Saccharomyces cerevisiae S288C: one gene and its partner. Changing the gene in region 2 together with the main gene of any one other region gives a genetic interaction. Each region holds a gene or a part of one and is shown on either strand. Other genes may lie near its edges. The genes, in order: YOR105W and AFG1.

Region 1 (2,952 bases), on a different chromosome or scaffold from region 2:
ATTTTATCCCTTACACTGGTGCAGTTCGGTATTAACTCTGTTTCAATTTTGTATCTTAGTTCTTTGGAGTCCCGTTTGGAACCAATTTTGGTGCATTCCTTTTCCAGCACGCGGGATTGTTCAGCGAATGTCTCAATTAAATTGCTTAATTCCTTCGTTTTTTGATTTGTTGAGAATTGTGGTTCTTGCTGGGAGTTACCCTTTGAAGATTGTGCTTCGATGTCGAAAAAGGACATAATCTCAACTTTCTGCAGTGGATATTAGTTGGCCAATTTGTTAATGCTGATCCCGTGGTTTTTTATTGTTCTATTTTCCTTCCTTTAATCTCCTGGCTGCTTTCTTTACATCAAAATCAAAATTCACTACAAAAATGTATATAGAGTTTTTACTGCGCATCTCGCGAAAAAAAAAGTTGTGATGTGAAACTCGAATATGAGGCTGAACGAATATTATCATTTGATTATAATAAGTATTGACTTGTATGATCTTAGTTTTGCTCTTCCTGTGTCCTCGTCAGCACCTAGGTAAACTATATGTTACAAATAGATCACTTTTATCCTGAGGAAAACAACCTAATTTATTGTACATACTAACTGACCAAGAGGAAGTTCACCATTGACTGCCCTTATTTGCATTTTAAAAGTTGCGGTTTCTGGTGTTACCTGTTAGAAGGCACCTTTTTAGCAACCGGTACAAGGAAAAACTCGTTGGAAGATTTTTTTTTACTTTCCTTTCCGTAAACGCAAGCTCACAGTTATTCCTGAAGAAATTCCTAATTGGTTCTTGCAAAATCTACCAATGAATCCTCTTGATCTTAAAATGTCTGACTGATTATTCAAAAGAAGGGGGAATATATATTTACCTCATTAGTAATATCTATCGCTTTGGTTTGGTTTATATCCCTGATATGATTGATAATTTTCGGTTGGATATGGACTTCTATGATTAGAGGAGGGAGTATTGTAACTGTTTCCCTGGAGGTTATTATTGATGTTATTATTATCGTAATAATAGTTCTCGCCATAATCGCTGATGTCAAAAATTGGAGATTGTGAAGCAACATGAGCGTTGTTGCTACCAGTATTGGCCGCATTTTGGATAAACGAATTTCTAGCATCATATTGCGGCTGAGGGCTGCTACCTTCGAAATTTTCTTCTTCATACACTAGAGGGGCCACCCTACTAGGGCTGCGTCCTTCTTTATTTCTTTCCTTCTGTTGTTTTTTCCTTGTTTTCTCTTTTTGTTTTTCCAAATCGAAATCTTCCTCTAATTCATACACCTCATTACTGGGAGTTTTGACTTCGTCGTAAAATGTATCATTCTTCGCATCGTTTCTATAATACGCACTTTCAGGTTGTTGAATAGGCTGATAAATCACAGTAGAAGGAGGAGCCACGCCCATATTAACTCTACTAAAACCCTCATTTACCGGCATTGTATTGTTTCCATTTCTGTCATTAGAACAACGACAACACCAACAAATGAACTGACCTATTCCTGTTACCCCTTGCCTGAAACATGTCAGTAAGCCCCCAATCAACCAAATCACAAGAATACAGGCCAAAACAATACCAACAATCGCAATAATTTTACATGCTTTATTGTCCATGCAGGTGTCCCAGCTTCGGAAACTTTTTCCTGTACTTACTACACCATCTGTAAAGGACGATCTCGGAAATAGTGGTACTATTTCTTTCAACTTGCAAACGTTCATTACTGTGTATACGCTTGGGAGTCTTTGATTATATTTCTAGTATTTTCTTGAAACGGTTATTTTGCTAAAAATAAACAAGATAAAAAAAATCTAAAAAGTCACGACCGGGGGTGGTTATTCTTGATCTAAGTAGCAAATATGTAATATATTTGAAACTTTCTTGCGCCCCTTTAATTTTGAAGTTCTTCTAGGCTTTTATCCAGTTCTAGAGTAGAAGTTGCGGTTCCAGTAGATCTTGAAGCTTTTTCGAGATGCATCATTTATATTTTTCCCCATTTGGTTATAAGAGAAGAGGCATTTTCCTACAACGAAAAATAAGCATAAAAAGGGCCACGTTCGTAGCAAAAAAAAGCTAAGACTGATACTTTGTAGCAAGAAACTGAATGAAAAACTGGGATTTTCATTTTAATTATTTACAGTAAAAGAATTTATCAAAGCTGTTTCATTTGGGCAGCGCAACGGGGACTTTTTTACCAGCCATTAAGACTTAGATGACGAAAAAAACACGCGTATACGCCAGCCAATTGAGGATCCTAACCAATTCATCACACTGGAAATAACGAGTCGATAGAAGCTTGTTGGTTCTATTTGGCGAGTACTTGGTCCTCTGCTATTTGCACTTGTGTCGTAAGTGCAATGATTGGGTGTATATCGCTATTAGAAAAAATCCCGGTGAGGGCAAAAATAGAGAATAACGTGTTTTAAAGGATGAAAAAGATACAATAGAATCTGCGTGAACGCTATACTTCATAACGCTATCACACAACAAAAAGAATTGTAACGAGGAATACATGACTAATATGGCAAAAGCACCAAAGGCAAACACACCAAAAGTAACCAGCACGTCATCTGCAGTCTTAACAGATTTTCAAGAAACTTTCAAGACTTCTAAGAGGGCATATTTTGCCCAAATTGAAAAATATCCTAAACTGAAACTAATTGATACATTCTGCTTCTTTTTGGTATTATTAGGGGTGATCCAGTGTACATTCATTATCTTGATCCGTGATAATTTTCCATTCAATGCGTTTTTAGCGGGATTCATTATTTGTGTGGGACAATTCGTCCTATTGATGAGTTTGCGGTTACAATTGTGTAATAGTTTTCCAGGCATTTCTAAAAACAGAGCTTTTGCCGAGTTTATTGTTGCTAGTTTGATTTTACATTTCGTTTGTTTACATTTTATAAATTGAGGAAGGGTTTGCCGGCGTGCTTGCATGCATGCTTGTATGTGTAT
Region 2 (4,077 bases):
AATATCATTTTGACTATCTTTCAAAAAGGTTTCTAAGTGGTGACTTAAATAATAAACATACCAAAACATAGAGTATGCTTCAAAGGGTTTGTAAATATCCAAATCAAACCCCTTTAAAGAGAATTCGATCATACTTGATAGTTTCATAAAATATGTCCACGAACAGTAAACTTGTGAATTGACACTTTCAAACTGGGCTTGAAGAGAATCCCATAGAATAAGTTGCCTGTTAAAACCTTGTCTATATCTACATGTGTTTTGGGAGCAGTTTTGGTACCATTCTAAAAGCATATTAGAGCTTTCTTGGATAAGTTCATTACCAATAGAGGATTCAAATTCAGATGGAGTTTGTGCTGAAAACTCCTTGACATGTAGCAAATAAAATTGGGTATATGAAAATTTACCCAAAACTGTTCTGTCGTCTCTAATGAAAAATAAGGGGAATAAGATCCTTGCAATGACATGCCTTTGTTCCAACTTGTTGAAGAATTTGGCAAACTGGTAGGTCTCCAACGCAGACTCGGCTTTATCTACAAGGAGTATTGTTTTAACATCATTTGCCAGTGTAATAAAGCCGCTGTAATCCGTCGGTAACTTCGTAATCTTCCTGGGAGGGAATTGATTAGACCTGTGCTTTTGTATATATGTTGAGAACGCACCCTTTGGTGGAGACAGCTGTAATTGTGGAAATATGCCATTAACCGAGTTAGCGTTTTCAATTAGCTCATCCAGGTGGCTTGTCTTTGTGGAATAGTCTGTCAGATGGTCTTCTAAGTGGACTAAGCAAATGATAATTTTTAGTATATGCTTCAGCATAGTTAAATGTAAGCTATCATCAGAATATGCCTCTAATATCTGAAGGCTCTCGGTGAGAGAATTGATAACAACATCTTGCCCCGGCAAATTATCGAATGTATTAAACCCCATGTTATTAAAATTTAAATCCTCCTCTTCAAAAACAATACCAGCACTCAAGAGTTTCTGCACAAATTTTGTTAAATAACAAACGCCAAGTATGCAACTTCCTAGTACTTTATCATACAAAATATTCCCTGTACACCAGGACGAACCGGCAGTTGTTCCCTTAACTAATGACGATAATAAGCTTTCTGTATACCTGCAGCTTAATACAGTAGTGGGTAAAGTCTGGTAGTCATTCAGCCAGGAGATAACACATCTAAGTAATCTATCCGCTATGGCTGCTACACTTGCCAACGGTGGATCGTAGGCCACGTTCACATCAAATTCTATTTCTTCTGCTGTCAATTCTATCAGACTGGAGTCTAATTTGGAGTTGTTGACCTCTAAAGAATGTGTACCCTCGAACAAATCAAACCTGGGATCTTTCACGATAGCCTCTGGTTTTAGTTTTGAACACAATTCATCAAACAGACTTGTGACGTCAACCAATTGGTCAAAATCATCAGTTATGCTCAAGGAACCTAATATACTGTCTACTTCCATTCTCGGAAACGTACCAGCTATTATCAAAGTTGCTCTACACTAGCACAGTTGTTTTCAATCTCAGCGCCACTCTTCTTGCTATTGAAGAGCTGCTATTTTACTTGTATCTCTTCGTGAAATTTCACTCCATCTCATAATTATTACCCGAAAACATAACAATGTGAAATAATCGTATTATGTAAAGGTTAGATAATATAACAACTACTAGATAATACAGTACTCTTATTCATTTATTTAGGCACCTGATTCCACTATTACCTATTCAATAGGTGTGCCGAGTTCCTTTGTCTTACGTAATTTTACACATCTTTTATGGGTCATATTTCGATATGTAAGGTAATAACGGGAATCTCCGGATTTACTTTAAAGTGGGAGGGAGAAGTTCCTTTCTTCTGATTTGCGGGTGCTCCGAAAGAACAAAGAATAAATAGGTAAAGCAGTGAAACATAGTATTTGCTGGTTAAAATCATGATCGCTTTGAAGCCCAATGCTGTTCGAACCTTCCGACAAGTGCAGCATTGCAGCTTTCGCATTTGTCGGTATCAATCTACGAAGTCAAATAAGTGTCTGACGCCCTTGCAAGAGTACGACAGACTGGTGAAGTTGGGGAAGCTACGGGATGATACATATCAGCGTGGTATCATCTCTTCCTTAGGGGATTTGTATGATTCACTGGTTAAATATGTACCTCCGGTTGTCAAGACACCCAATGCTGTCGACCAAGTTGGCGGTTGGTTGAATGGTCTTAAATCCGTATTTAGCCGTGGCAAACCTAAGAACATTGGGGCGTATGTGGATGTATCCAAAATTGGTAACTCGATACCTCGAGGAGTTTACCTATATGGAGATGTTGGCTGCGGAAAGACAATGTTGATGGACCTTTTTTATACTACAATTCCCAATCATTTAACAAAAAAGAGAATACATTTTCACCAGTTTATGCAATATGTTCACAAAAGGTCGCATGAAATTGTTAGAGAGCAAAATTTGAAAGAACTAGGTGATGCAAAAGGAAAAGAGATCGATACGGTTCCATTTTTGGCCGCAGAGATTGCAAATAATTCGCATGTTCTTTGTTTTGACGAGTTTCAAGTCACTGACGTGGCAGATGCAATGATATTGAGAAGGCTGATGACTGCCTTACTATCCGATGATTATGGTGTCGTACTTTTCGCAACCTCGAATAGACATCCAGATGAGTTGTATATCAACGGTGTTCAAAGACAATCATTTATTCCTTGTATTGAACTGATAAAGCATAGAACTAAGGTTATCTTCTTGAATTCGCCAACAGATTACCGTAAGATTCCAAGACCTGTGTCCTCAGTTTACTATTTCCCATCCGATACGAGCATAAAATACGCATCAAAGGAATGTAAAACCCGTCGAGAAACTCATATTAAGGAATGGTATAACTATTTCGCACAGGCTTCCCACACCGATGATTCCACTGATTCACACACGGTGCATAAGACATTTTATGATTATCCATTAACTATTTGGGGGAGAGAGTTCAAAGTCCCTAAGTGTACCCCACCTCGAGTCGCGCAGTTTACTTTCAAGCAGTTGTGTGGTGAGCCTTTGGCCGCAGGAGATTACTTGACGTTGGCAAAAAATTTTGAAGCCTTTATAGTGACCGATATTCCATATTTGTCCATTTACGTTCGTGATGAAGTGAGAAGATTTATTACATTTTTAGATGCTGTATATGACAGTGGCGGGAAACTGGCCACTACGGGTGCAGCGGATTTTTCTTCCTTGTTTGTGGAACCTGAACAGATACTTAATGATTTTGAGTTACGCCCAACAACCAAAGAACCTGATAGCGTCGATACTGGTATGGTAGATGAGATGGTTGAGAAACACGGTTTTTCGAAAGAGATTGCCAAGAAATCGCAGATGTTTGCTCTTGATGAAGAAAGATTTGCCTTTGCCCGTGCCTTAAGCAGGCTGTCACAGATGAGCTCCACCGATTGGGTTACTAAGCCTACATACTAAACCCTATGTAACAAAAGTGTTTATTTATATTCTTGTATTTATTCTAAACACGAACTTTGATCGTCTAACAATTGCCGCAGTTACACCTTTAACAATAGTGCTTTTTATTACTGATATTACTCACCTGATTTTTTGTTACCCGAATGCAAATTTGATTAGGAACGGGGATTGTTAAAAGACAATGGCAGTACAGATAAAGGTTAGATGAAGCAGCAGTAGAATAAATCAGCATCTGTAGTACATAGGTTCCTAACAGCATTGTGAAAAAGGTTCAAAAATGTCTGGTAATAGAGAGCAAGTCTTTCCTACGCGTATGACGCTGGGTTTGATGAAGACCAAGTTAAAAGGTGCCAACCAAGGTTATTCTTTACTAAAGCGTAAGTCTGAAGCCCTAACAAAGAGATTCAGAGATATTACCAAAAGAATTGATGATGCTAAGCAAAAGATGGGGAGAGTTATGCAAACTGCTGCCTTTTCCTTGGCCGAAGTTTCCTATGCAACAGGTGAAAACATTGGCTATCAAGTGCAAGAAAGTGTCTCTACTGCAAGATTCAAAGTGAGAGCACGTCAAGAAAACGTTAGTGGTGTGTATTTGTCTCAATTTGAGTCCTACAT

Evidence for each region.
Region 1: mutations in AFG1 (region 2) and YOR105W together harm fitness more than expected from each alone (negative genetic interaction), as found in Saccharomyces cerevisiae (one large-scale study listed by BioGRID).

What each region holds. Positions count from the first base shown.
Region 1 is NC_001147.6:516,405-519,356, reverse strand, and holds YOR105W (uncharacterized protein), read right to left. Parts: upstream 1,163-2,952; coding exon 836-1,162; downstream 1-835. Other genes in the region: SNAP receptor VAM3, read right to left, coding at 1-236; PIN2 (Pin2p), read right to left, coding at 867-1,715; OST2 (dolichyl-diphosphooligosaccharide-protein glycotransferase), read left to right, coding at 2,516-2,908.
Region 2 is NC_001137.3:54,639-58,715, forward strand, and holds AFG1 (Afg1p), read left to right. Parts: upstream 1-1,932; coding exon 1,933-3,462; downstream 3,463-4,077. Other genes in the region: MAK10 (Mak10p), read right to left, coding at 1-1,464; VMA8 (H(+)-transporting V1 sector ATPase subunit D), read left to right, coding at 3,740-4,077.